Linked DNA regions of Schizosaccharomyces pombe. The protein of the gene in region 1 purifies or fractionates together with the protein of each later gene. This does not show direct contact. Each region holds a gene or a part of one and is shown on either strand. Other genes may lie near its edges. The genes, in order: hsp104, gln1 and cts1.

Region 1 (11,037 bases):
CAAGTGTGAAATTATTAAAATAATTCGTTTTCCTCTGATGTGATATTAACATTATAGTTTCAACACATTCTCCGTCTCCTCAACACTAACGTTGATGGCAAGGTAAAGGTCATGTTTGCCATGACCCAAATCAAGGGTGTTGGTCGCCGTTATGCCAACATTGTTTGCAAGAAGGCCGATATTGACATGTCTAAGCGTGCTGGTGAGCTTACCACTGAAGAGTTGGAGCGTATTGTTACCATTATTCAAAACCCTTCCCAGTTCAAGATTCCTTCTTGGTTCCTTAACCGTCAAAAGGATATCAACGATGGCAAGTCATTCCAATTACTTGCCAACAATGTTGACAGTAAGCTTCGTGAGGATCTTGAGCGCCTTAAGAAGATCCAAACCCACCGTGGTCTTCGTCACGCTCTCGACCTTCGTGTTCGTGGTCAACACACTAAGACTACTGGACGTCGCGGTAAGACCGTTGGTGTCTCTAAGAAGAAGTAAAATAAGTAAAATGATTAGCCTAATATTACTTGGATAATAAATTTCCATTATTCTTGCAAATTATAGTTTTCTGATTCTTTAAAACATCTTGCTTTATTTTGTATATTGAAAAAAATTAGGTGGATTTGTGATTTCTCATCAAATATTACACTACAATTTATTCTGATATAGAAATATATAAAAAACAGTAAATATTATTCAACATATTCAACCAACATGATTGATACTGACGCATCGACCTAAGAACCTTTATTATAACCCTACCTGAAACCACAGAAAATTAGACTTCTAATATAATTATTTGAAACGAGATAAATCCAAACTTTTAACTTCGCGCTTCAATACTCGTTGTTTTTTACTTTGTGGCACTGGTGCTTTTACATTTTCTTGAACGTAAAATTCGCGCATTAACATCACAGCTTCAGAGTAAAATAACCCTGGATAAACTGGATAGCTCGGATCAATAGATTGGCTGTCATAAATCGTAAGCAAAAACGAACTGATAAATTCACATACTCCTTGTTAATGGAAAATACGCTTCCACATCCGCCAAACCTATCGTTGCCGCATCCAAAATACACGGCTTTTATGTGAAGCTGTTTTAATGCAGCAGCACACATTAGACACGGTTCAACAGTCACGTATAAAGTGGTTTCTTTGAAAACAGATGCTGGGTAGTGTTCTAAAATTTTTTCTATAGCGATAAGTTCAGCATGTCGAATCCCCTTTATCATCGTCAGCAAAGGCATATTAAAATAAGGCTTACCGAGAGGCTGCAGTTAGTTTCATTAAAACCACGGCCTATTACTTCTCCTTTATATACAAAGACGCAACTACCGGGACTTCTCGGTTGGATAACGAAGTACGGGCCTAAATTTAGGACTTTTAGTTGTTAATATGTAGGAAATTGAGCTTACCATTTCATGCGCCAACTTCATATATGTTTCATGCTGAGTATCATATTTCACCGTATTTGATGAACTTGTTTTGTTCATTTCCGCGAGGATATCTTGAAGATGTTGGCTTACAAAAAGTAGGGCTGTGTCAATGTTTTCTTTTTGAGGGAGTATAATATCAGCGTTCTCTCGAGTCTTCCAATAATTAGTATACAACAGCAAATAAGAGTTTAACATACTGGATGAATCGAAGAGTCGTATGCAGGTTTAGACAAAGTTACAAACTAAAAGAAATTAGAATAAACCTAGAAGAAAAACCCTTACATCGTTCAAAACTTTGGTTAAGTCTCCTTTTTCTGCTTTGACCCTCTGTAAAACGCAGCGTTCCAAACGAGTATCTGCATCTTCATATACAAAAATTTTAGACGTATAGTAGGGCAGCAATTCGGGAAGAAGAAGATAGTAACCTTCGATTAGAATAATTCTATTCTGGTCTACAGGTAGCTTTATACAAGAACCATCTGGCAAACATATTTTCTCGGCTCCTTGAGAAATCAAAGAAAGAACTTTTTTAAACGCTTCAATATCGTAAGAGGAAAGTGCATACCTGTCGACAGAATTGGGATAAAGAAATGAAGTAAGATGGATCAATTTAGAAAAAGTTGAAGGTGCTGATGACTTTAAACGTTCAAGTAATTGCTCACAGAGTTGTGTCTAGTATTAAAGTATTAGAATTAAGAAAAAAATATTTTAATAAAATACCTTTCCAGAAAAAGGACCCCCAGCAATCCCAATGATTGCACTTTTCACACTATCTCCTGCCATAGTATATTCAACGCTAAAAATTTCAAATATAGCCAAATAGTAAAATATATAAATTATTACGAAAAGTTGGCAGTATAGAGAGTAAGGAATTCTATCTTCTTTAAGTAACTTTTACGCCTTGCTGCTACTGGTGGTAGCGTTGGTAGTATTTGGGCGAACTGTCCCTCCGAGGCTCTTACGCGGTTAGCCATATAAGTATACAATTATCAGTTAGAATAAATTCTCAGAATTAAGCTAATTTACATATCAATGTATTATATCATGTACTAGACTTAAATCAACAAGCTACAGCAGATGATTACGAAGTTATCTGTGAAAAATCATCACTAAGAACACAAGTTTTTCTACCCTTCAGTTTGTTGGTTCTAAAGAATTTGATTTTTTTTAAGTAAAAGCTGGTATTTTGCCTGTTTGGATATGAATGTTAGGGAAGGAGCAGTACAAAAAAGGTTGAATTAAAAAGTAAACAAAAGTATGTTTATAATGATGCTAGCTCGTCAATTGCAAAGAGATTACTAAAAGATATTGATTCCGTAATCTACTCCTCATCCTCCTCACCAATTTTTGGGGCAAGATAAAATCGTAAAAATCCGGATTCCATTTTATACTCCACAAGAAGTGGAACATCATTGCTCATTGAAAGTGTGACTCGGGTAGCTAAAGGAGTAGCCTTAGTGAACTGGGCTAAATATTTCAAAGAAAACGTAAGTGTTACAGCTTGGGTAAGAGAAATTTCGATACTTTGATCTTGGTCAGAAAGATCGGTATGTTGTTTCAGCGTGGTACTACCATTACCAATATCTCCCTTGCAGCTAAAACGAACACCCTCTTTACTAGCATTGATTGTTACTGAATCACTCAAAGTTAATAAATCTCGAGTAATGCGTTGAAATTCGGCAGCAGGCATAGTAATAGTAGCATCGTATTCGATATCTGGTATACCCAAGTGTTCTTGATCAATGTCCATTAATTTAACATCATAATCAGAGATCCTGTCATTTTTCTCGCTCTCGAAAACCAAATTCAATACCTCAGGTGTATCTTCAGCCTTTAAAGTAACCAAATCCTCGTTTTGGGCACACCGTAAGACCTTTGATAAGGCGTTCAGATTTATACCTAAAGCAATATTTCTATCACACCGATATGGTTCAAATCCATCTGATTTAATAAGCATAGAAACAAGGGCTACATGAGAACTATCCATAGCCTGCAGAGAGATACCGTTGTCATTGCAATCAAACTGTTATGAGGTTAGAGAATCATTCAAAAGAAGTTAATAAATATATTTTTTTTAAAAAAAAGAAAGGCTTTGTCGTTGAGCATCTTTATTTATATGCTGCCCCTTACATACATTAGCATCTGTAACTAACTCCTTGATGGCATCGAGAAGCTTTTTCAACAAAGCAGCCTGCTGAAATCTAGCTTCAAGCATAGTCGTAATTATATTTTATACAAGCTAGATAAGAGATATAAAGAATAGCTAACAAAGGTTACTGCAAAAACCTTTTGTAGTTGGCTTTTGGGAAGTAGTCAAAGAGCGCGTAGCACAGAATAGTGTGCGTAAAATTGCTAGCTGACAACGTAAAAAATCTCAAGAACCTTTCATATATGAGACCAAAATAGCAGTTCACGTTATTATAATTTGTTTTGTTATTTTTTTTATTTTTACAATAGCAAGTAATTTCGTCCGTACTTTTTAGATGCGTTTGATATGAAATATTATACAAAATTATGGAAAACTAACTGAAAAAATAGTATTTGCATGTTACTATGAAATTTTTATCTTTCGTTTGCTGTACTAATTCACGGTTCTATTTATGTCTTTTTAAAGAAGCAATATTCAGTTATCGAAATTTTCTAGCTATACGGATTATAATAAGCCAAATGTAATCAGCGAGTCATTACAATTTACGGCGTAAACTAGGAGAGCTTTCGCGTTCTACCTTAATATACTTTCCAGGATCAAATAAAATTTAGGCTACACTAATGTATCAAGTAAATTGTACATTTTCCATATTAGCTGCTACCGAAATTTATTAACTTATTTTCACGTTGCAATGACATATAAAATGATTGAAAAAAACGTTATTTTAATTGGTATTAACACGGAAAACTTAAAACGAATTTTATTGCTGGTTTAAATAAGACTAAAGAGGTATGAAAATAAGAATGAAGTATACTTGTTCGCTAAGGAAAAAATATGTATTCACAACAAATTCATTCGTTTTTTTTTCTTCTCAATATTCGTAGATTACAGTTACGTTAACAAGAATTCACTGTTGGTTTGTTTAGTTTATAAACCACTATGGTCAAGTAACTAAAGTTCGTTAAATGTCATTACGACGAATAATCGCTACCGTATAGAATAAGTAATGTAAGAGCTCTATCTTAGAAATAGCTTGGAAATATGACTAGAATCTCTGTAATAGAAGAACTATGTATCAAAAAATTATTTATTCAGTCATTGATGAATTCTAACGGTATTTAGCAAGATGCAATTGAGAATAAGTTGAGGTTAGTATCCGTCTTTACGTTGTTCCATACACTACGTAATACGCAGATCATTTCCGGGTTTCGAGTATTCCATGTTTAAAGACAATTCAAAGACTTTTAAGGTAACTGCATTTTTAATTTACACCGGTTTTTTTTTAAGCTATTTTTCTCTTATTTTTTTAAATCTTCTAGTCATGTCTTTGGGATTTACCCTACTTTATCCCTTTCTTTTTCTAGAGTGTAGGAGTAGGTTCGAGTAACAATGTAACTGGCATCTTCTGGTATGTTCCTTTCCTTCCCATAGTAACATCATCGTGTATATATATGCACAGCTTCTCTACCTGCGGCATCCTCAACCATCAATCTATAACCGAAGAATTTATTATAATAACGATATTAAGTTCTTATTAAATCGAACTGAAAACCGTATATATTTACCGTTCAACGACTCTCTCTTTTTTGTTTTATAACGAGCGACAAATATACAATTCCTTTTTTTTGGATTTATCTATAAATTATAAAAATTCCTATAATAATATAACTCGATATGGCTGATTATCCTTTTACTGACAAAGCCGCAAAGACATTGTCTGATGCGTACTCAATTGCACAATCTTATGGTCATTCACAATTAACCCCTATTCACATTGCTGCTGCTCTTTTGTCCGACAGTGACAGTAACGGTACTACCTTACTGCGCACCATCGTCGACAAAGCTGGTGGTGATGGTCAAAAGTTTGAGCGAAGTGTTACTAGTCGGTTAGTTCGCTTGCCTGCTCAGGATCCACCTCCAGAACAAGTGACTCTGTCACCTGAAAGTGCGAAACTGCTGCGAAATGCTCATGAACTTCAAAAAACACAAAAAGATTCTTACATTGCTCAAGATCATTTTATCGCTGTGTTCACTAAAGACGACACGCTAAAGAGTTTATTGGCAGAAGCCGGTGTCACCCCGAAAGCGTTTGAATTTGCTGTAAATAACGTCCGTGGTAATAAAAGAATCGATTCAAAGAATGCCGAGGAAGGATTTGATGCACTAAATAAATTTACTGTTGATCTTACAGAGCTCGCTAGAAATGGTCAACTGGATCCAGTTATCGGACGTGAAGATGAAATTCGTCGTACAATTCGCGTACTTTCTAGAAGAACGAAAAATAATCCAGTTCTTATTGGTGAGCCTGGTGTAGGTAAGACCTCCATTGCTGAAGGACTTGCTCGTCGTATAATTGACGATGATGTCCCCGCTAATCTTTCGAATTGTAAGCTTCTCAGCCTGGACGTCGGAAGCTTAGTTGCCGGCTCCAAATTTCGTGGTGAATTTGAAGAGCGTATCAAATCTGTTTTAAAAGAAGTTGAAGAAAGTGAAACTCCCATTATTTTATTCGTAGATGAAATGCATCTTTTAATGGGCGCAGGTTCCGGTGGTGAAGGTGGCATGGACGCTGCCAATTTGCTGAAGCCAATGCTTGCACGTGGTAAGCTTCACTGTATTGGTGCTACTACTTTGGCTGAATACAAGAAATACATCGAAAAAGATGCTGCTTTCGAACGTAGATTCCAAATCATCTTGGTAAAAGAGCCTTCTATTGAAGATACGATTTCTATCCTTCGTGGTCTTAAAGAAAAGTATGAGGTTCATCATGGTGTTACTATCTCTGACCGTGCCTTGGTTACTGCTGCCCATCTCGCTTCCCGGTACCTAACTTCTCGTCGTCTTCCAGATTCTGCCATCGACTTGGTCGATGAAGCTGCGGCTGCAGTTCGTGTTACTCGTGAATCTCAGCCCGAAGTTCTTGATAACCTTGAGAGAAAGCTTCGACAACTCCGCGTTGAAATTCGTGCTTTAGAGCGTGAGAAGGACGAAGCTTCCAAAGAACGTCTCAAGGCTGCTCGTAAAGAGGCTGAACAAGTGGAAGAAGAAACAAGACCTATTCGTGAGAAGTATGAATTAGAAAAGTCTCGTGGAAGTGAACTTCAAGATGCTAAGCGTCGTCTTGATGAGTTGAAGGCTAAGGCTGAGGATGCCGAGCGTCGTAATGATTTCACTCTTGCTGCTGATTTGAAATACTATGGTATTCCTGATTTGCAAAAACGTATTGAATATTTAGAGCAACAAAAAAGAAAGGCTGATGCAGAAGCGATTGCAAACGCTCAACCAGGCTCAGAACCTTTACTTATTGACGTAGTTGGGCCCGATCAAATCAACGAAATCGTTGCAAGGTGGACTGGTATTCCGGTTACTCGTTTGAAGACAACTGAAAAGGAACGACTCCTTAACATGGAGAAGGTTCTCAGTAAACAAGTAATTGGTCAAAATGAAGCAGTTACTGCAGTTGCAAACGCCATTCGCTTATCTCGTGCTGGTCTTTCTGATCCTAATCAACCAATCGCATCTTTCTTGTTTTGCGGTCCTTCCGGTACTGGTAAGACTTTATTGACAAAGGCATTGGCATCATTTATGTTTGATGATGAAAATGCAATGATTCGTATTGACATGTCTGAATACATGGAAAAACACTCTGTTTCACGTCTCATTGGAGCACCACCCGGTTATGTTGGACATGAAGCTGGTGGACAGCTTACTGAACAACTTCGTCGACGACCTTACTCCGTCATCTTGTTTGACGAGATTGAAAAGGCTGCTCCAGAAGTATTGACTGTACTTTTGCAGGTACTAGATGATGGACGTATCACTAGTGGCCAAGGCCAGGTTGTTGATGCCAAGAATGCTGTTATCATTATGACTTCTAACTTGGGCGCTGAATACTTGACAACAGACAATGAGTCTGATGATGGAAAGATAGATAGTACCACTCGGGAAATGGTTATGAACTCGATTCGTGGCTTCTTCCGTCCCGAATTTTTGAATCGTATCTCTTCAATCGTTATCTTTAATCGTCTGCGTCGTGTGGATATCCGCAATATTGTCGAAAATCGTATATTAGAGGTTCAGAAACGGCTTCAATCCAATCATCGCTCAATTAAAATCGAGGTTAGCGACGAAGCTAAAGACCTTCTTGGAAGCGCTGGTTATTCCCCTGCTTATGGTGCAAGACCTTTGAACCGTGTCATTCAAAATCAAGTTTTGAATCCCATGGCTGTCTTAATTTTGAATGGCCAGCTTCGCGATAAGGAGACTGCTCATGTCGTAGTCCAAAATGGCAAGATATTTGTCAAACCAAATCATGAAGCTAATGCAAACGGCTCTGCTGATATTGACATGGATGGTATTGACGACGATGTTAATGATGAAGAATTGGAATAAATGTATTTCAAATGAGAAAGTTCTAACGATACTTTATGATATAGTTTAATGATATGCTTAATCTTAATATATTTTATTTATTTATAAAAATATAGTATATAAACTTTTTAGGAAGTACTGTTTTCTCATTAAAATGTTCAATGAACTTTATCGAATAGATAGAATCAATTTAACAAAAGCTAAGTACATCGTTTTTAGTTATTAGCAATTCAAGTATGATGAAACATTGAATCTTAAATTTATCAAATAATCCATTGTTATTTACGAAAAACCTCCATTTATTTTAGTAGGTATTAATTAATGCAGTCCATTCAAGAAAGTCGAGCTTGTAAGAAAGTGCTCGTAATTCCTTATAAAATCAAAGCAGAATTAGCTCTCATACTTTTAGTAGATTTTAAATTGAATTTACATGATTAACTTTAACATTTGGTAAATCACTATCATATCATTTCATTACTTTCTACACTTGCGCATTGCATACTAATACGCATTCCAGTTCTCATGGTTCAAAGCAACGTTTAAATTAACAAGTTGTATAGTTAAACTTATACAGTGCTTTGCTTCTAATAGCCATTATTACCAGGAAATAACGAGATCACAGTTGCCCGCATACCATTAAGCTAACGAAACTTTACTGCACTAAACAAGAGACTAGCTTTTCGTAATTGTAATAAGACTTATCGAAAAGTTGAACCAGAGATCTTCAGTTCAGTAGATCATTGCCTTTCTCAAACGAAGCTTTAATTTATACTTCCTTAAAAATAATTGATTAGTCATATTTTCATGTTATACAAACTCTGTCATGGCTTCCAATCCGCTAGATAATAATATGCCGACGACTCCCGTTGAGGAAAAAATTCCAGTCGCTAGTTATTCTCCTAGCTCTTCTGGTAGTAGTTCCGGTGCTAGTTTACTAGTAGATATTATGTGCGGCAGTAAAGAAACTGAGGATGAAGAGGTTGATTCTGATGAATGGGATAAACCAGGTATGAATATCAACTATTAACTCCAATACCTTCAAGGGTACGCGCAAGTCTATTTGAATTTACAAAATTTACAATTGATCAACGATTTTGAGTTCAGGTTAGCTATGTGCTTTTCATATACTTTAGTTTATTTTAATTATTTAAAAAGTTAACGATTCCTTAGAAACAGAAAACATAAGTGATTTGGATGAACGATCCGAAATGGTCAGATATTTAAGGGCTTCAGGTAAGGAGTTACTTAATTTACATTTTAACTAGTATTTGTAGGCTATGCGAAATTCTTGGAGAAATATTTAATAGAAGAAGAGTTGCCTGTACGATCGATTTTAAAAAAACTTGGAATCAATTTGGTATGCTTACTGATTTATAACTTGCATTACATTAAATTAGCAGATTATTTTTGTTAAATTGCAATAATAATTTGGTCTACTGCATGTTTTGTTTTCTTATGACTTTACCTAGATTTATTAACGTAAATAGCCTAGTGCACTTGAAGAGTTTGAAGACATAGAGTATGCTTTTCTTTAACTTCCTTCTTATCTTTTTATCTTTTATTTTTTAAAATATCTGCTATCGATATACTAACGTGCTAATTAGTTTACTTCCTTTGCTGAAGGAAGTTTTAAAACGTGAGGTTGCTAGGAGAATCAAACTTCCACATTTTAATACCTTTGAAGATGTTGTTAATTTATTGAAAAAAGCTAAAAATGTTGTCGTCCTTGTTGGGGCAGGCATAAGTACAAGTTTGGGAATTTTAGATTTCCGTTCAGACAATGGTTTTTATGCCCGTTTGGCACGCCATGGATTATCGGAACCTTCTGAAATGTTTGATATCCATACGTTTAGAGAAAATCCAGAAATTTTTTATACTTTTGCTAGAGATCTTTTGCCGGAGACGAATCATTATTCCCCCTCGCATGCCTTCATTAGATTGCTTGAAAAGAAGAATAAATTATCAACATTGTTTACCCAAAATATAGACAATTTGGAAAAAAAGACTGGACTCTCCGATAACAAAATTATTCAATGTCATGGTAAGTATTTATTTTCCGATTTGCATCTCGAGCACTGGTGATTTTGTCTAATTTGATTATATAGGGTCTTTTGCTACCGCAACTTGTATCAAATGCAAGCACAAGGTGGATGGATCGGAGTTATATGAAGACATAAGAAATCAAAGAGTTTCTTACTGCAATGAATGCGGAAAACCACCCTTAAAATTAAGAAGAGTCGGTCAAAATAAAAAAGAGAAACATTATTTTTCAGATGGTGATAGTGAATCTTCTGAAGATGATCTAGCTCAACCTGGGATTATGAAACCTGATATCACATTTTTTGGGGAAGCCTTACCGGATTCTTTCTTTAACAAAGTCGGGAGTGGTGAGCTTGAAGAGACTGATTTATTAATTTGTATTGGAACTTCTTTAAAAGTGGCTCCTGTTTCAGAACTCATCAGTGTTATTCCTCCTACTACTCCTCAGATTTACATTTCGAGGACTCCTGTTCGTCATACCCAATTCGATGTAAATTTTCTAAGTCCTTATTGTGATTGGGTTATTGTGGAGATTTGTAAACGTGCTGGATGGCTGAATGAATTACAAGCGCTTTGCGATTTACCTGAGTGTCATAGTGGTTCCAAAACGCGAGCTTTCGAAACGGATTTGGATATAAAATTTGAGGAGCCCAGCACCTATCATATCACGAGCACAACAAACGGTAGTTGTTAATTTTAGGACTGATCGATCTATCGAAGTTGAATGTAGAAGCAAATATATTATATACATATATCGAGTATGAGAGCCAGATTATTGGACATTAACTTATTATCCGTTTGAGACTTCTTAGTTTTGTAAGTGCCATTGTTAAAAACTGTTTTTTCTCTTCGCACCTAATGTTTAAATCTGCTAAACTGGGTGAAAACACATTAAAACAAGTTATAATACATTTTACAATACCAAGGACTGTGTAATTAGTAAATGAACATTGAAGCAAATTACATTCATAGGCTATGCAAAATTAGCTACTTTTTTAAGCATAGTAAATCAGTGAAAATGACACAATTATTATTTAAAATTGAAAG
Region 2 (9,898 bases), on another chromosome or scaffold:
AAAAGGATATTAAAAATAATGCACTGTACATATGCCGTGGAACGAATAATGAACTATTAATGAGTAAATGCATTTATTTAAAAGATTGGAAGTGGTGTGGTACTAAGTTACAAAACCTTGAAAAAAGTGCTCTTTCATGTTTTGTAAGGGTACGCCATCAACAGCCATTACAACCAGCTAAGGTGACTTGGAGGAACCCTGAAAGTGTTAAAATACATTTTCAAGATAAACAACGAGCCGTTACTCCTGGTCAAGTCATTGCCGTGTATGTAAACGATGTTTGCTTGGGTGGAGGGATGGTTGATACTGTAGAACCTGAAAAAGATTTTGATTGATGAGTGTTTTATTAAAATAAACGACCAGCTAGTTATTCAAAAAAAAAAATTCTAGAGGATAGAAATAAAATGAAAAGAAGTTTTTTTATTAATGTGAGTAAGAATCTTTGGTATGTGATTTACTGAAAAATAATTATTACAGTTGGACTTGATTTGCTTCAAACAGATTATGCTTATACCTTCACTTTTTCACTATTTACCAAAAAATGACAAATAAGGTGTTAATAGTGTTAGTTCTAACCATTTATATGTACGCCCATTCCAGTAATTGAGAATTAGGAAGTATGTTATGGTGGTAAACTGGTGCTGCAGTTTGTTTTTCTGAGAAGTAGAGGTTTTCGAAAATCCGATTTTAAAAGGGGTTGATAAGTTCGATTATCTTCAAATTACAAACCGATTACAATGCAAATCACGTTTACAGTGCGAATCATAACCAAACTCCTTAACCCCACATATCGTCGTAGTTTGTTCTTACTAAGAATGGTACTATATTCAAACCGCAATTTATCTGGTACACTTGAATAATTTTATACTCGGAAAAAAACTTTTTGCTATAACGATATCTGATAAAAGTAGCTAATAAAAAGCTAGGATCCTTTTGAATGGGACAATAAACCAAGCATGTTATCAATTTGTTTCCTACATGAAGTGCCACGTTGCACTTTGTTAAGAGCTTTAATAAATGTATAAAATAGATAGATACATACAGCGTATTCTATAAAAGCTAATTGATTTAAATTTGCAAAAGCACTCAAATTTCTATTGTTTTTGAAAAAAGAACATTCATTTTATAGGTCTAGAAGATATAGTTTAAAACATACCAATGTAAAGTGATAGTATAGAGGAGTTTACTTTGTCAATAGTAAAGCATGCACTACTGTGGTTACTGCTAGAAACGAGCATGCACCAAAAAATTTTTAGATACATTACCAATTTTTTTGGCAAATTCTAATCGTCTATTAAAGAAATTCTCGATTTTTTTGTGTTTTTTGAAGGTTGCGACTATGGGGCCATTGTTTATTGTTTATTGAATAGTGAAAGATAACAACAGAATCAGACTATCTTATAATGAAGTTAGTGCTACAAATCGTTATGTTTAATTTTTTTTCGCTTGCTTGCGTGGAAGCTGCTAAAATTAAAAGGTAGGACCGCCCCCACTGAAGCTACTCTATCCCACATATCGCATTGATGTAGTTAATCTGTAGTTCGTTATACCGTAGATTATGCCCCCACACAGTACTGATATTGGTACATGCTAGTTGATGAGATCTAAGGAGCTCAGAGTGAAGCTAAACCAAGTGGGGGAGTGTGCGATTTTGAACTAAAGGTGATTTTGATTTTACGATGTTTGGATAATTTGTCAGCTTAACCCCCCAAAAAAATATTCGTTTATAGTAAATACCAGTAAAAAAGGTATAATAGTAAACTGTTTCATTACGTGACAGCAATCATAGCAATCATGGAGCAAGAAATCAAAGTGGTTTAAGAATTTTAATCAATTTTTGAAATGTAAACATCCGGAAAACGCATAGGAGAAGAAGTACTTGAACAAACCTGTTTAACCATCCTATCCTTTTACCAAGTTCTTACCGTGGAGCTCTCATGGAACAAAAAGACTGATGGAGGACGGTAGTGAAAAAAGTACCAAACGACGACGCCGAAGTAGCGATTCTTGGTGGGTTTCATTTCCTCGCCTTGTCGTAAGTATCAACTGAATGGAAGAAATTTGTGCGAATATTTTCGCCTGAATCAGAGTCGTTTAGCCCAAATAGTTGTATTTATAGTCGTAGTCGTAGTTTATGACACCCTGGTAAAATAAAAGGAAATTTTTGGATTAACATGTTTCATTGGAAATTGATGTTATTTGATTTGCGCGCTCTAGTTTATCCGGTGTTGCAAAAATTTCGCTTCCATTCTGTCGGGTTTATTATAAAGAAGGGCATCGCATGTTGCTTATGCATTGTATCGTAGTGTAACGAATTGCTTTCAGGTTTACCCCCAAAGCCGCCTCCACGGGAACGCCCCACGGCAAAACCGCAATCGATGGGGCATGGTGTCATGCCATCCAAGTGGGAAAACAAGGGAGCGCACAATGGAGTCCGAGATGTCAAGAGGCAAGCAAGAGAGGGAAAACAGATGAATATGATATTCATGCGGCCCAGTCCATGGAGAAGCATATAGCATTTTATTTTCTATTTTTTTTTTTTTTTTTTTTTACTTTATTTTTATTATATTTCTGTTTTTTTTTTCTTTAAATCTATTTATTTACTTTTTTTTTGCGCGCAACTGAAATTAGCTTGTAAAATAAATTTGCAAAGATCCATGCGATTTATCAGCAATCTTTTCGTTTCTATCCATCGTTTGACTATATGAATGCATTAACAATATCTCAGCGACCCTATCGCTCTTCTCTATTTTGTTGCGCTACTCTTTGTTTTCATTCTACAGTTTTTGTTAACCTCGTTCTTATTGCTAACCTCACTCATATTGACTGTGTTAAGACATGCCCTTGATGGAACTTGTCGTGCCCTGGTATTGTTACTTCAATGTTAGTCTAGTCAACAGCTGGCAACACATAGCTTCATTGAATCCTGATAAGAAGCCCCTCCTCATCTAAAAAAAAAAAAATTAAAATTAAAACACGCTGAATAGTCAGCGTCTAGCTTTCCTATCCACTATTATCATCGTCGCATACGTCCACACTTGGTTGGGGTATCTAGAATACCAACGAAGAACTGCCTACCTAGAGATAAAGCAACCCAACCTAATTACCTACTTAGTAGCAAAAGTAAATTTAGACTATCACACATTTGAGATAAACTGATTATTTACAATGACACCTTGTTAATTTTAATTACACAACATGCAATCGTAGTAATAGCAATGTATATCTTCAAGGCAACTCGTTATGAAGCTTCATTTCTTTAAACTGATATCCTCGTTCTCTATATCTCTCTCTCTTTCTGTGTGTGTGTGTGTGTGTATCAACTCTCCCTTTGCTTTGCTCATACATGCAAGCGAACACATGAGCACCCATCATACCCAGCCTGCTCTCTCTCTCGCTCTTTACGCGCTCCGAAAATCTCCGTAATTGCAGCAACGATGACTTGCGGTGTCCAGCTTTTCCGGGTTAATTCATGATAAAAAAATGGAAAAAAGGCGATCCCTGGCACTATCTTTAGGCGCCTTTTCCGCCAATCATTCTAGATAAATTATCTTCCATATCATTCATTCGCTCCATGATTGGCCCATACTTCCAATCATCTGTGATATCTTGCATTCTGGACAAGAACCCCCCAATCAAATGCTGCCCATCTATTGCAACCCTTACCCCAAACTCTTTATCTACGCCGGTTTCCTCGTTAACGGAGTGTTGGAGGACGAGGTGCAATTAACCGGTCGTGGTATATAAAGTGAAGGCGCGAGTCACCTTACTCTTCTCCAAATAACATTTTCGAAGCCAAAAAAAAATTTCCACCCTTTTTTGTTTCGTTTCGTTTCGTTTGTTCGGCTTTCTTTCTTCTAGATTTGTAAAGAAAGATTTGATTGTGTAAAACGAAAAAAACGCTGTTATATATTTGCTTTTACTAGTAACATATATAATTCACGCTCCTACACATATTTTATTTTATACATATAAATTTTTTTTGGGGGGTTTTCTTCTTCTCTACACGGTAATTTAGATTAAACTCGGTATAATTGTTGCCTTGGTTTAAAGTTACTTTTTTTTTATTCTTCATTAATATACTTCGTTCGATATCCTTATCTCGGTTTTTCGATCGTTGACAAATTTTGTTAATCCTGGTTTACAGTAATCGATCTATTGTTTTGTAACGGGGTTTTCTTCTGTTGCTAGTTTTCAAATTTCCGTTCTCTAGACTTTCGTTTTTTTTTATCTTTTGTTTTTCTACCTTTTTTTTCCCTTTTACTTTCAATATGTCTCAATACGACGTTGAACCTCTTCTCTCCAAGGCTGCTATTTTAAACAAGTATGCCGATCTTCCTCAAAATGGTAAGGTTATGGCTGAGTACATCTGGATCGATGGTTTCAACCATCTTCGTAGCAAGACCATGACTCTCGATGCCAAGCCTTCCTCTATTGACCAATTGCGCGTTTGGAACTTTGACGGCTCTTCCACCGGTCAGGCCCCCGGCAACAATTCTGACACTCTTTTGAAGCCTGTTGCCATGTACAATGATCCCTTCCGTCGCGGTGACAACATTCTCGTTCTCGCTGCTTGCTACACCGCTGATGGCTCTCCCAACGGCTTCAACCATCGTGACGCTTGCGCCAAGTTGTTGGAGAAGCACGCTGACAAAGAAACTTGGTTTGGTATTGAACAAGAATATACCATGTTGGACTACTATGACCGTCCCTTTGGCTGGCCTAAGGGTGGTTTCCCTGGTCCTCAAGGTCCTTTCTACTGCGGTGTTGGTACTGGCCGCGTCTTTGCTCGTGACATCGTTGAGGCCCATTACAAGGCTTGTCTTTACGCTGGTATCAACATTTCCGGTATCAATGCTGAGGTTATGCCTTCCCAATGGGAATACCAAGTCGGCCCTTGCGCTGGTATTGAAATGGGTGACCAACTCTGGATGTCTCGTTTCCTTCTTCACCGCATTGCCGAAGATTTTGGTGTCAAAATCTCCTTCCACCCCAAGCCAATTTTGGGTGACTGGAATGGTGCTGGTTGCCACACTAACGTTTCTACTAAGGACACTCGTGCTGAAGGTGGTATAAAAGCTATTGAGTCTTATCTCGAGAAGTTTGCCAAACGCCATAAGGAGCACATTGCTGTTTATGGTGACGACAACGACTTGCGTCTTACCGGTCGTCATGAAACTGGTTCAATCGATAAGTTCACTTATGGTGTTGCCGATCGTGGTGCATCCGTTCGTATCCCCCGTTCTGTCGCCATGAATGGTTGCGGCTACTTTGAGGATCGTCGTCCTGCTTCTTCCATCGATCCTTACCTCGTCACTGGTATCATCACTGAGACCATGTTTGAGCATTAGACAATTTTCCCTCATAATTTAACGTGCAGGTCACGTCGACCACCCAGTTATTAACCATTTTGAAATATGTGTTTAAGTTTTTATAATATCACGTTTTTGTTTGTAGGACTTAATGAGTTTGTTGTGTAGTAATTTTGTTTATCAGCTTCACTTTTTTGTGATGTTTATCTTTTTTTAGAATATTTCATATGATGCATTCGTTGCAGTCATTTTTTTAAAGTATCACCATTTATCAACTGAGCTTGTTGCTCACCTTCTTATAATGATCAAGAGTGTTTTCATTGCGTATGTGAGGCTTTGATACAACCTTGGATTGTTCTTTTCTTGATATTCTTATACTAATATTAATGTTTCTCTTGTTTTTTTTTACCCAAGCTGTCCCTAAGTACAAGTACTTTACGAATCAGTTTGTCAACAACCCTGTTAATTTTTTTAAGTATTTTACAGTATTCACACAAGATTACGAATTTTTGAAATAAAACGATAGCTTATTCTAGACATGCAAAAATATATCTTTTTTGGTTGGTTACTTGTAAATTATCAATTGTGAATAATTAATGCATCTTTATTGTAAAGCTGATTCCATCCATGAAATCCATTCTTCAATGTTCGACATTTTTGCAACGCTGCCAGGAAGGAATTTAAGATCAGTATCTTCAATCTGATCTGCAACTGATTCCCAATCGACATCTTCAGAGACTATAGATTCGAGTTGAAGATTTTTCTCTTCCAAAATATTGTGCAGTTCAGCTTTTAACAATTGTTGAATTTTTTCCGCAGGTTGAGCAGTAAAAAGATCAAATTTATTACAGGCAATTAATAGATGAGGGACATGATGCTTGCGACATTTTAAAATTGTGTCAAACAACATCAATCCAACCTCGTGCACATCCCTGTCAATTGTAGCACTGTTGAGAACGAAAACTACAGCTTTTACATTATAATTTCCAGAGAATTTAGTAGTAATCCAACGTTTGGCCCTGGGATGCCCTGGAAGATCTACTAACCAAGCACCATATTTCCACACAGCTTCATTAGGTTCAATGCTAGGAACTGTAGTTTTCTTTTCTTTATAAATTAGCTATATAACAGTTAATAAGTATTCAAAGATTGTATATTATTGTTATACCTCACAAAACAAAGACGTTTTTCCAGAATCGCTAGGTCCAATTAAAAACACTGCTGGTAACTTCTTTTGAATTGTCTTTCTAGTAAAAAAAATTCCTAGGGTAGATATAATAGCTCCTATAATTATTGTAGCTACAATAATTTTAAAAGCTTGAGAAGTTCCATCCATATGCTGTTGTTGGTACCAGTTGGGTGTGTAGAAGATATATGTCAAATGTTACAAAGACCTCATTTTCATACGATCGTTGATTAAGATATATTTTTCAGAAGAGAGAAATAAATGTGAAAAAAAAAAAAAAAAAAAAAAGCATCCAAACTAGTTCTCGAAGTTTTGTTTAAAAAAGACAATTCTCGTACAGATTGCAGCAGTAGAGATTGACTGTACCCTCTTTTGAATTTAATTAAAACAATACAAAATACATTTTTCCTGAATGTATTACATGAGATAATTGCTTGATTAGACCAATCTTTGTTAATCGTCAAAGTATACATTTATATCATCGGTTCTTTTGAGTGGAATTAATTGTTGTGGGGCATCTTTAAGTTGTGAATTTGTGTAATTAGACTTATTGAATATTTTTGCTTCATTGTTTGCTCAACATTATTTATTATAGAAAAGTTCTTTTTGTTAAGTGATGACAATGATATAAATAATGAACTTCACGATTTTTTATTTTAAAATAATAAAACTATAGAATATTTTACATTTTGAAAGATAAGATTGCGTTGTTGTAATACTACTTCAATCCAAGTTATACTGAAGTTGCTGTCTTTCAGTCGAAGAGCTACTTTTATATCTACCTTTTTTACATTGCAGACTTGCCATCCCCCAACCGTAGATTTTGCTGGTTATATTAATTCCTTTTTTAAAGAGTCGTCTAACTCTCGTTATTAAATTGTGATACGAAGATGCCTCTTCCAGTACTTCGAGTTAAGCGTAAAGCTTCAGAAGATCCTGTTAACGCCCTATGTACGACCAAGCTTCTAAGTAAACTTTCTTTATCTAACTCCTTAATAATTTAGATTTGGAACTTGGAAACAATCCAAATTCTGTTTCAAGTACGAAAAGAAGGAAATTCGCCGGACGATATTGTATGCTACTTCTTGAGCTTTTGTGTTGGAATATTACACAAGGACTAATCATTTGAAAAACACAATTACCTTTTATTGACAGTTTCTAGATTTTAAACTATCACAAACGCTGAAGCAAGATGATCGGTATATTCAGATAAATGATGAATCTTCGGAACCCACTCATGAAGACGTTCGAAATATCCACAGTCATACAAAAATATCATCTCTAAAAAAGAACAATTACGGAATCCCTGTCGTCCAAACTTCTGAAGACGTTGTGAAAGCACCTACGCACATGGACTTGGGATCCCGTGAAAATACAAAAGGTATTCTTTCTTTCTCATCCCCACGCTATACAATTCAGAATTTACCTTCTACTCAAAGTAATAGAGTGTTCGACGCTATCCGTGTCGAACAAGGGTATGTCAACATCAAATAGAGTCAATTACTTAGTTCTGTTGTTATAAGAACTGGCTCTTGGCTTTTTTTACCTTAACTAACATTCATAGACATACTACGTATCATCCGCATCCTCAGCTAGATTCTATGATTCAAGAATATTTGTCAAATGGAGACCTTCCTCTTCAGCAATCTACGGAAGACTACGTATACGATATTTATGAAGCATCTAGCAAAGAACCAAACAAGCCAACGTTTGCTTATGGTGTAATTGATGCTTTGTCCATCCCAGACGCTTTTCGTTCTTCATTAGAACAGGAACTAGTCTCCGAGACAGTGGACTCTGATAAAGATGATCCATTACATGATGAAATTGATGAGGATTCAAACGCTGAAAGCTTCTATCAAAATAGCTATCCCGATGAAGACGAATGGCAAGATAGCAGTGAAAATGATGAATTTGCTTACTCCGATGATGCTGAGCAAGACTTTTATGATTAGATGTTTGCTACTTAAAAAAACGAACAAAATGGAAATCGGTTACAGTTTAATAGGTGAATGATATTATTTGGAGAAATTTATATCAGGAATTTAGTAAATTGTTCTATTGTATTTTTTAAAAACTCATACATTATATTGTGTCTGGGTAATATGTGTAAATTTTAATAGCATTACTATTTAGTTATATCATAGGATTCAATATGAGCCATGTTATTCATGAGTTTGGAGTCCACAATTTTGTGACTTGCAAAATCCTAGCACCAAGTTCTTGAATTTGTAGCCAGATTTAGCTACATCATAGACAATATGTCGACTAAAGAAGCAACTTCAGAGACTGCTGTCGATTATTCTTTGAGTAATCCTGAAACCGTCAATAAATATAAAATTGCAGGCGAAGTTTCTCAAAATGTTATTAAAAAAGTGGTAGAATTATGCCAACCTGGAGCCAAAATATACGATATTTGCGTTCGTGGTGATGAACTATTGAACGAAGCTATCAAGAAAGTATATCGTACCAAGGATGCTTATAAAGGTATTGCTTTCCCTACCGCTGTATCTCCTAATGATATGGCTGCTCATTTATCTCCTTTAAAAAGTGATCCCGAAGCCAATCTCGCTTTGAAATCGGGTGATGTTGTAAAAATTCTTTTGGGTGCTCATATTGATGGATTTGCTTCCTTGGTCGCTACTACAACTGTAGTTTCTGAAGAACCAGTTACTGGTCCTGCCGCTGATGTTATTGCAGCTGCTTCTGCTGCTTTGAAGGCTGCTCAACGCACTATTAAACCTGGTAATACTAACTGGCAAGTCACTGACATTGTTGACAAAATTGCTACTAGCTATGGCTGCAAACCTGTTGCTGGTATGCTTAGCCATCAGCAAGAGCGTGAAGTTATTGATGGCAAAAAACAGGTTATTTTAAATCCTTCTGATTCTCAACGTAGTGAAATGGATACTTTTACGTTTGAGGAAGGAGAAGTTTATGGCGTTGACATTCTTGTTTCAACATCGCCTTCTGGGAAAGTGAAGCGTTCTGACATTGCTACTCGTATTTACAAAAAGACCGATACAACTTACATGTTGAAACTTCAAGCTAGCCGCAAAGTCTATTCTGAAATCCAAACTAAGTTTGGTCCTTTCCCATTTTCCACTCGTAATATTAGTTTTGATTCAAGAACCAATATGGGATTAAATGAATGTACTAGCCACAAACTTTTGTTCCCTTATGAAGTTTTGCTCGATAAAGACGGAGGCATTGTTGCTGAATTCTATTCAACCATTGCTTTGACCAAAAAGGGTACAATTATTCTCAGCGATTCTGAACCTAAGGAAGATTTCATTAAATCCGATAAAAAAGTTGAAGACCCAGAAATTGTGGCTCTCCTTGAGACTCCCATCAAAGTGACCAAAAACAAGAAGAAGAGCAAGAAGCCATCAAAAGCTAA
Region 3 (9,993 bases), on another chromosome or scaffold:
TTCACCTGTTCTGCAAGGCAATCGGGGACCGCGATTCTTCTATACTTGTTTTCTGTGCAACTCAACGTTTTTAGCATCAGCGTGATGATTACGACAAATTTCTGCTAAAAGATGGATACATGAATTGCATCCAAATATAAATGATGATGAAAACTACTTATATATATCTTAATACTATCGTTATCTTTCATAGGTTTCACTCCAAAACATGCCAAATAAAAATGTATGTACTCGTTAAGCCAAAACAAATTACAAACTACAAACATACTCCTTTTTCCTTCAATATTGATAACATCATAGGGAATATAGACAGCAATTTTCCGATTAATGGGAGATAAATATCAGCGTATCTTATATAAATAACAATAAAAACTTCAATGAAAGCATTAATTATAATAATAATCGATAATACACTGAATCATTACAACCATCTGAAAAGAATAACAACAAGGTACTATAATTTACTCAGTGGTCTTTGACTCAGTGGTGGGAGCAGTAGGCTCCTTCTCAGCAGGGGCAGTAGGAGTGCTAGAAGCTGGGGAAGCCGTACCTTCAGCTTGGTTTTTGGCATCAGCAAGCCTACGAGCTTCGTTGTGGATGCCAAGCAACTGGTTTTTACCATCTTCATAGGCATTTTGAACCTTTTGTCCGGCAGAAGTGCCAGCAGCAGTTTCAAGAGCTTTGTGGAAATATGTGCTAACCAAAGAAGAGGTGCGGTTCAATTTGTCAGAAATGGCAAATTTATTATCAACCTCATTGGCCTTTTCGGTGACATGATAACGTTCGTTAACAGAACGAACGCCAGACAAAGCAGACTCGAGGATCCCCTTGAATTTTGAAGAAACGCCATAGCTTTGGTCTAGTTGAATACTCTTTTCCAAAGTTACATCGCTCAAATGATATCCGCGACTTAAAAGTTCAGAGATTATAGCTGAACGAGGCTTGTCTTCTTGACGAGCGGCTTGATCGCCTCCAGCACCTCCTTGATCGGTAGTAGAAGCAGCACCACCATCTTCACTGGTGATTTGGATTTTGTTTTGTCCAAGGAGAGCATCTTGCAAAAGTAAGGCCGTCTTGGTGGCGCTAGGGCGTTCAAATTGGATTTTCGCGGTTTGGGTTTCTCCAGATTTCTCGGTAGAGATGTTGGACACTTTACCGCAGAAAGAAAAGAAGTCTGAGATTTGTTTCTCAGTAACTTCAGGAGAGATGTTCGTTACAATAACTTGGTTGCTCATTACTTTTGTTTCAACTGGTAATATGGAGATTCAAAGTACGTTGAGTGCCATGGAGGCTGCTTTTAAGTAGTGATCATCGATGACGACATCCTCCCAATTACGATTAGATTGAGCCCAACGAAAAAACCACAAAAATGCAAAATTTCCTGACATTTCTAACTTGCCCTTAGCCTATATCACGGAAAGTTGACTTTGTGCTGCTTTGTTAATGCCACTACTTCATACTTTAAATCTGATATTACATTAATGAACGTGTGTTTTCAAAAGATTGCAATTATCGCGATAAGTGAGCCTAAATCAAAATGAAGCTGAAAATAGATGACAATTATCTTTTTATCTGAATATCACGATACAATTTTTATTGGTCACTGTAAACTAAATAGGATAACACTTAGATACTTTGCTGTACTCATGATTTCTTGACTTGGTATACTAGTTGGCTTTGTTCGTTGCATGGCAAAGTGCATAAATTGTGGAAAAAATATCCATTAAATTGCTATTACGAAGTAATTTCCGCTTCTACTATGTTTCGATAAATTCATAAACTTAGGACCGACATTAATTTTCCCGATATCGGCATATCCGGACAGTGAAAACTGATGTTTCTAGAAAACCGAATTTGCTGGATCGCCTTTACGGTCTTTCTAAAGAATGCGAAAGAAATATATGAATAGATTACCTCGCTTGTTCCTTTTCTCATGTTAGTCATCCAAATTGTTTCTTATTGAATAATGAGCAAAATTATCAGGTATATTGAGAAGGCAAGAGAAATATAAATGTTAGACCTACAATAAGTAAAACAAAGATAAGTTAAAGGCTTTCCTTGCTTCAAAGCATTTTTTAATCTATTTTCTCGATCTTACTTCCTCAATGTACATAGGTTAACAATATTTATATTTTACATTTGGGCTTAAGCTGCGTATAGAGAAAATAAAATATCATAAATATCATAGGTATATTGCTACAAAAGATAGAAATGAAAACCTCTTTTACAAGTAACTGTGTTATATTTACGAATTGGTGATTTGAATAAACCGTTGTACTTGAAGTTGGCACCTCACCTCGGAGTTTGTTGGTGTTTTATATTGATTAACCTACAAAGACACTTAGTCTAGTAGAGATTGTGCTTTGAATTTGTAAAAGACAAGAATCACCTAACTAGCCGCTAACCTGGTAATGTAACTGTGAGCGGATTATATGGTTACATGTTTTCTCACTTCCACAAACTTCACAAACACAACGATGGCGTCGAAAGGTGCTTATAAACGGGTATGGATTTATAATTTTAAGCTTCTTCTAATTATTTTAGTTAATGAAAGAATATCTAGCTCTTCAGAAAAACCCTGTTGAGCTTGTTGACGCTAAACCTGCAACTGAAAACATTTTGGAATGGCATTATATTATCACTGGCCCTCCGGACACTCCATATGAAGGAGGACAATATCATGGTATGTTTCTTTTAAATTTCCTTCTGTAATCAATATGTGCATGAACTTTTGGCTGTTGCCATCCTTTGCTAACTTTGCGTACAGGGACATTGATTTTTCCTCCCGATTATCCTTTTAAGCCACCTGCAATTCGCATGATTACTCCAAGCGGACGTTTCCAAACGAATACCAGACTTTGTCTTTCTTTTTCTGACTTCCATCCAAAATCCTGGAATCCCTCATGGATGGTTTCTACTATTCTGGTGGGACTCGTTTCTTTCATGACTTCTGATGAGATTACCACTGGAGGTATTGTAACTTCGGAGTCTACCAGGAGAACTTACGCAAAGGATACGAAGAGATTTAACATTATGGATAATCCTAAATTCTTAATAATGTTCCCCGAGTTAATTGACAAAAATAGGGAAGACATTGCCAAAGCAGCTGCTGAAGCGGCCCTAATCGAACCCCAACAAATTCACTCCACTCCTGTATCTTCCAATGAATGCAAGAAGAATGAACCGTTTAATTCAAAGCAAAGCTGGGTTAAAAGTCGCTGGAGCATAGCAGTTTTGGTGTTTTTTGCCCTTGCTTTAGCTCGTTTTTTTGGAGCTGATTCTTAAGATGTTATGCTTTGTATTTATTTTATTAACTTATGAAAGCGTTTTTGCATTTGATCCTCCGATAAAGAGATTAATGCCAAATAGCGCTTTGCCGTCCTTATATGTTTATTTTTTTTCTTTCGTTGCCTGTTGCCCCTTCATCTCTGCATCACATGTCGCGCTTCAATTAAAACTAAATGGAAGTTAATCTTTGTTCTAGTTTCTTTTTATAGACAATTGTCTCTTAGCAATTGCTTGATTTTTAGCTTACTAAACTACATTTTTTTAAATGTCGTCAAATGTTATTAAAGCTTCGACATTTCGGTAGAAAATAAAATTAAATTTTAGTTACTCAATTCATTATTTGTGATTTTCTTCAATCACTATCCAACTCGTTGCATATCCAGCGGCCACAATATAGGCCCAGCCTGGTAATTGAAGAGTTTTTGCATCATAAACATCTCTTTTATCATCATTCGAGGCATTTCCATGCTCATTCCAACCGTATATTAAAACACTTCCTTTCTTTGTCCTTAAAATATTGTGCTCAGTTCCACTGGCGATTTGGACGATATCACTTGCTTTTGTATGGGCCTTCTGAGCACGATCACAACGACCAAAAGCATAGACACAGCCTTCAGTACTTAATAGACTCAAGGTAGACCAGTTTGCTGATATAGAGCAGATGGAAGAAGACAATTCACTGTTATTTGCTTGCCAAGCATCACATTCTGCTGCTACATTCCACTTCTCCCCTCCTAAAACAATTACATGTCCTGTTTCTTGCAATACTGCACTGAACTGTACACCACATACAACAGCTTGAGCATGTTCAATACGCCCGAGAAATGAAACCTTGTTAACTGTTTTCATAACTACCGGTCCAAGTTGTCCTTTGCGGCCATCTCCACAACCATACAAGTTCCCTTCATTTGTAACACAAATCCAGTGTCTTAATCCAGCCGAGATATCAATAATGAACTCTTTATCGTCAAGGTAAGGAATGTCAATTTCCCTCAAACCTTGACTATTACTGCGATTCCCTTGACCCAATTCACCGGAAAGTCCTTCACCACATGAACAAACACGTCTTCGATCAGCATGTACTATAACGCTGAATTCCCAACCACAAGTCAGGAAAACCCAACGCTCATGACTAACACGGGTGAATATCCGTAAATAGTCTGGACTTAGGGGATTGTAAAGAGGTTCTTTCACTTCATATCCACATTGTCCCTTGCGATTATCACCACAAGCCCATAGTTGAGAATCCTCATCTAACAATAGGGTGTGGTTTCCACCACATGAGATTTTTTCAATTGCACGGTCAAATGGCACTATCTGTGGGCTGTAAACATCCTCATCATTGTTCAAACCAAGTTGGAAGTTACCATTTGAACCTAAAGATAGCAGCATAGAAATATTAGTTGTGGGTTTCTAAAGTGGTGGCACAATGGAGGTTTGTAAAATTTCATCTTCAGTACGATTAGTTTTTAATTTTTAGAATAATGTGAAATACATTATTTGGAAATTCCTATCATTTCGATTTATATTTGTGGTAACGATTTTCTCTTAAAAAAATTTTCGCCAGCGCTTAAAAATTTGTTAGCAACCTAATTTTTCTCTCCTCCACGTACCACCAACTTTGGAGCAAACATCAGGGGACAGCCAATATGAAGTACGTTTTAGTATCTGGAGGTGTTATTAGTGGTATTGGAAAAGGTGTAATTGCCTCTTCCACTGGATTACTGCTAAAAACCCTAGGATTGAAAGTTACTAGCATCAAGATTGACCCTTACATGAATATTGATGCTGGCACTATGTCTCCCCTTGAACATGGGGAAGTTTTTGTTTTGAATGATGGCGGTGAAGTCGATTTGGATCTTGGAAACTATGAGCGCTATCTTAATGTTACATTAACCCATGATAACAATATTACAACTGGAAAAGTGTATTCTAATGTCATTCAGAAGGAACGTCGCGGTGATTATCTTGGAAAAACAGTGCAAATTGTTCCTCATGTTACGAATGAAATTCAAGACTGGGTGGAGCGTGTTGCTCGAATTCCAGTTGATCAAAGTGGTGAAGAACCAGATGTTTGTATTGTTGAACTCGGTGGTACGGTTGGCGATATCGAGTCTGCTGCTTTTGTGGAGGCCATGCGTCAATTTCAATTTCGTGTGGGTCATGAAAACTTTGTATCAATCCATGTTTCTCTTGTCCCTGTAATTAATGGCGAGCAGAAAACTAAGCCTACTCAACAAGCAATTCGTGATTTGCGTAGCTTGGGCATTACTCCAGACTTGATTGCTTGCCGCTGTAAACAACCTCTTGAGAAATCTGTGATTGATAAAATTTCTCTTTTCTGTCATGTTGGTCCCGAACAGGTGCTAGCTGTGCATGATGTCTCTAGTACATATCACGTTCCTCAACTGCTTGAAGACAAGCTATTGGAATATTTGAAAATTCGTTTCGCACTGGATAAGATAAGTGTATCTCGCGAACTCGCTCTCGCAGGCGAGAATATGTGGAGCTCGTGGAAACATTTAACACAGGGATACGATCATCTTTTCAAGAAGGTCACCATCGTCCTCGTAGGAAAATACACTCATCTTCAAGATTCCTATATATCAGTCATCAAAGCATTGGAGCACTCTGCTATGCGCTGTGGTCGTAAACTTGACCTCCAATGGGTAGAAGCTTCTCATTTGGAAGCTAGTACAAATACTAGTGACCCACTTAGTTACCATAAGGCATGGCATTTAGTCTGTTCTGCCAATGGTATCCTAGTGCCTGGCGGATTCGGCTCTCGCGGTGTCGAAGGGATGATTGCCGCAGCCAAGTGGGCTCGTGAAAATAATACACCCTACTTGGGCATTTGCCTTGGTATGCAAGTTGCCGTTATTGAATTCGCGAGAAGTGTTTGTGGAATTGAAGGTATGTTTTTTGATGCTTTTATTGGACTCCATTTTAAATTTTTAACTGCCTTCTATTATTTTTGGGATCTATAGATTCCATGCACTTACTAGAGGTTTTTGTCATTTTCCGTTGACTCTAACTGTAGACAAGTGCTACATGAATAGTTAAACAGTTATTATTAATTGGAGCATATTTTTTATTTTGCTTCTTTCAAAAGATTTTTAACTAACATTTCTAGGTGCATTTTCTGAAGAATTCGATAAGGAATGCGAAAACAATGTTGTTGTTTATATGCCTGAGATTGATAAGGATAAACTGGGTGGAACTATGCGTTTGGGATTGAGACCTACCTTTTTCCAACCCAATTCCGAATGGAGTAAACTTCGTAAACTTCATAAGATGGTTGATGAAGTTTTGGAAAGACATCGTCATAGATATGAAATAAATCCTGCGTTTGTAAGCCGTTTGGAACAAGGTGGAATTTCTTTCATCGGAAAAGATGAACGTGGTGAGCGTATGGAAATTATTGAGAAACGTGACCATCCTTACTTTGTTGGCGTACAATACCATCCTGAATATTTATCTAAGCCACTTAAGCCCTCCCCACCGATTTTTGGATTGGTTGCGGCCAGTGCTGGCTTGTTGGATGAATTTATTCAGTCTGGTGAGGAAGTCGAATGGAGCAACTTTTCTCATTTTAACGCTGAATCTGCCTTAGCTGACATGAATGACTCTGTTGAAGTTACTGAAGAAGCCACTGTCGTCACCATCAGTTAGAAGTAGGTTATATGGGATTCCGGGAATTAGGAAATAATGTGTGTTTGTTGGTGTGTTTTTCTTTATCTATAGGAAAAATTGGGTTCTGGGGTGTTGACACTATTTATCAATTGTTGTTCTGCTCAAAAGCTTTCTTTTGATGTATCCAGTAATTTTGCAACTGAACCGTTAGTCTAATTAAGCTTAACGTTATAGAGACTATCTAGAGATATGAAATGACTCTCAGAACTTCTGAGCCATTTTTACGGTTATTATATTGTAGACATTTAGAGTAATGCGTTTTGAATGCTCATTACGTGTGAGTTAATCACAGAGGCTCTGTAACAATGCATGCAAATACTGTGTTTAAAATACAGTACAAATGACATAAATCTATTAGCATATGAGGTGCCGTAGTACTGTATTAATATAGATCGATACTTTTCGAAAAGCGCTATTAAAGTATTTACGTTGATTTGCATAGGTAATAAATATGTCAAGTGTACAAGCATACTTGCAAAAAGCACTTCAGTACGTATCAATCGTTGAAAACTGTAGATAGACTTATATATTTTTATATTCGCTACGCCCTGTCATTGATTTAGCCATTAAAACATTCTAGAAATACCTTACGTAAACTTTGACAGTAATTAAACATTCAAGTTGCAAAAATTATTTCTTAATAAGGTACGAAACTCACCCCAGTTCCTATTGTAAACAACACGGACTCAAAGTTCAAATAATAAGTAGAGCCTCGACATTATTATAACGAACTGTAATTCAGCTACCTTATTTGCCTTTGGCGCAACTCGTTGCGTTGACAGCCATGAATATTTATTTGTACAAAGTTAGGAAACGCGATTGTCTATTGCACGCGTTTCATTTTTAACCATACACCTATGTTTGGTATGGAGCAATTTTGAAAGTCTTCTTCAAACTTCGATTTAATTTTTAGTGAATCCTAGTGGGAGAAAAGACAATAATGGACGATCTGAAAGAATTGGAGTATTTATCCTTGGTATCTAAAGTTGCCTCTGAAATTCGAAATCATACTGGTAAGTAGTAGGCTTTAATACTCATTTTTTTATAAATAATTAACCAAATCTAGGAATTGACGATAATACTCTTGCAGAATTTATTATTAATTTGCATGATCAGTCTAAGAATTACGATGAGTTTAAAAATAATGTCCTTTCATGTGGAGGAGAATTCACCGACAGTTTCCTTCAAAACATAAGTCGATTAATTAAGGAAATTAAGCCTAAAGATGACATTCCCACTGATAATGTAAATAATGGTAGTAACTCGGTCAATGGAGCTTCGCATGATTTAGATAGCAAAGATGTTGACAAACAACACCAAAGAAAGATGTTTCCTGGCTTAAGCATCCCAAATAGCACGAATAATTTAAGGGATAGACCAGCGCTTATGGATAATGCTATGGACGAGCTGGAAGAACTTTCGACGTTGGCCAAAACAAGGAGAAACGATAGGGATTCTAGGAGGGATGAGCGGCATTACCTCAATGGAATAAGGGAACGTAGAGAGAGATCAATTAGTCCCAGTTTTTCGCATCATTCACGTACCTCAATTTCTGGTCAATCACATTCTAGTCGATCATCGCGTGGTCCATTGCTAAATGCTCCAACATTGTATGGAATTTATTCTGGTGTTGTCTCAGGTATTAAGGACTTTGGTGCCTTTGTAACTTTGGACGGCTTTAGAAAGAGAACTGATGGTTTGGTTCATATCTCAAATATCCAATTAAATGGGAGATTGGATCATCCTTCAGAGGCTGTTAGCTATGGACAACCTGTATTTGTAAAAGTTATTAGAATTGATGAATCAGCAAAGCGAATCAGCCTGTCAATGAAGGAGGTGAATCAAGTTACAGGTGAGGATTTGAATCCGGATCAAGTTTCACGTTCTACAAAGAAGGGTAGTGGAGCAAACGCTATTCCATTATCAGCCCAAAATTCTGAAATTGGACATGTGAATCCACTTGAAACGTTCACTTCAAACGGTCGGAAGCGTTTAACATCACCTGAAATATGGGAGTTACAGCAACTTGCTGCATCCGGTGCAATTTCCGCTACGGATATTCCTGAACTCAACGATGGATTCAATACTAATAATGCTGCGGAAATTAATCCCGAAGATGATGAAGACGTAGAAATCGAACTTCGTGAAGAAGAACCTGGATTTCTCGCAGGACAAACCAAAGTTTCATTAAAGCTATCTCCTATAAAAGTTGTAAAGGCCCCGGATGGTTCATTGTCCAGAGCAGCAATGCAAGGGCAGATTTTAGCAAATGATAGACGAGAAATAAGACAAAAGGAGGCAAAATTAAAGAGTGAACAAGAAATGGAAAAGCAAGACTTATCCCTCTCATGGCAAGACACTATGTCGAATCCTCAGGATCGGAAATTTGCCCAAGATGTGCGAGACTCAGCTGCTCGTCAACTTACTTCTGAAACTCCCAGCTGGCGTCAAGCAACACGAAATGCAAATATATCCTACGGTAAAAGAACAACACTGAGCATGAAAGAGCAAAGAGAGGGTCTTCCAGTTTTTAAACTTCGTAAACAGTTTCTCGAGGCTGTCTCAAAAAACCAAATTTTGGTTCTACTCGGTGAAACCGGTTCCGGTAAGACCACTCAAATCACTCAATATCTTGCTGAAGAAGGTTATACCAGTGATAGCAAAATGATAGGTTGTACTCAACCTAGGCGTGTAGCTGCAATGTCTGTTGCCAAACGTGTAGCAGAAGAAGTGGGATGTCGTGTTGGTGAAGAGGTTGGTTACACTATTCGTTTCGAAGATAAGACCAGTAGAATGACCCAAATTAAATATATGACTGATGGTATGCTTCAACGAGAATGTTTAGTTGATCCTCTTTTGTCCAAATATTCTGTAATTATTTTAGATGAAGCACATGAAAGAACCGTTGCAACTGATGTACTTTTTGGACTGTTAAAGGGAACTGTTTTGAAACGGCCAGATTTAAAGCTAATTGTTACTTCAGCCACGCTAGATGCTGAGCGGTTTTCGTCT

Evidence for each region.
Region 2: the proteins of hsp104 (region 1) and gln1 purify together in Schizosaccharomyces pombe (affinity purification with western blotting, with the first as the bait; one study listed by BioGRID). This does not show direct contact.
Region 3: the proteins of hsp104 (region 1) and cts1 purify together in Schizosaccharomyces pombe (affinity purification with western blotting, with the first as the bait; one study listed by BioGRID). This does not show direct contact.

What each region holds. Positions count from the first base shown.
Region 1 is NC_003423.3:3,609,293-3,620,329, reverse strand, and holds hsp104 (heat shock protein Hsp104), read left to right. Parts: upstream 1-5,060; 5' UTR 5,061-5,253; coding exon 5,254-7,971; 3' UTR 7,972-8,065; downstream 8,066-11,037. Other genes in the region: rps1801 (40S ribosomal protein uS13), read left to right, coding at 58-492; pcn1 (DNA polymerase delta processivity factor), read right to left, coding at 2,752-3,453, 3,565-3,645; histone deacetylase, Sirtuin family, NAD-dependent Sir2, read left to right, coding at 8,774-8,957, 9,121-9,183, 9,225-9,307, 9,438-9,469, 9,555-9,991, 10,056-10,684. UniProt on the Schizosaccharomyces pombe protein: Required, in concert with Hsp40 and Hsp70 and small Hsps, for the dissociation, resolubilization and refolding of aggregates of damaged proteins after heat or other environmental stresses.
Region 2 is NC_003424.3:1,591,945-1,601,842, reverse strand, and holds gln1 (glutamate-ammonia ligase Gln1), read left to right. Parts: upstream 1-3,778; 5' UTR 3,779-4,271; coding exon 4,272-5,351; 3' UTR 5,352-5,770; downstream 5,771-9,898. Other genes in the region: slm3 (tRNA (5-methylaminomethyl-2-thiouridylate)-methyltransferase), read left to right, coding at 1-335; SPOM_SPAC23H4.05C (uncharacterized protein), read right to left, coding at 2,219-2,512; signal recognition particle receptor beta subunit Srp102, read right to left, coding at 5,917-6,432, 6,481-6,648; RNA polymerase II nuclear import protein Iwr1, read left to right, coding at 7,389-7,449, 7,503-7,571, 7,661-7,973, 8,063-8,453; peptidase family curved DNA-binding protein Cdb4, read left to right, coding at 8,760-9,898.
Region 3 is NC_003424.3:1,208,413-1,218,405, reverse strand, and holds cts1 (CTP synthase Cts1), read left to right. Parts: upstream 1-4,895; 5' UTR 4,896-4,937; coding exon 4,938-6,201; intron 6,202-6,421; coding exon 6,422-6,960; 3' UTR 6,961-7,211; downstream 7,212-9,993. Other genes in the region: protein mug94, read left to right, coding at 1-85; RNA-binding protein Vip1, read right to left, coding at 462-1,235; ubiquitin conjugating enzyme Ubc6, read left to right, coding at 2,478-2,504, 2,545-2,683, 2,768-3,285; RCC domain-containing protein Ats1, read right to left, coding at 3,625-4,680; ATP-dependent RNA helicase, spliceosomal Prp22, read left to right, coding at 7,922-7,994, 8,048-9,993.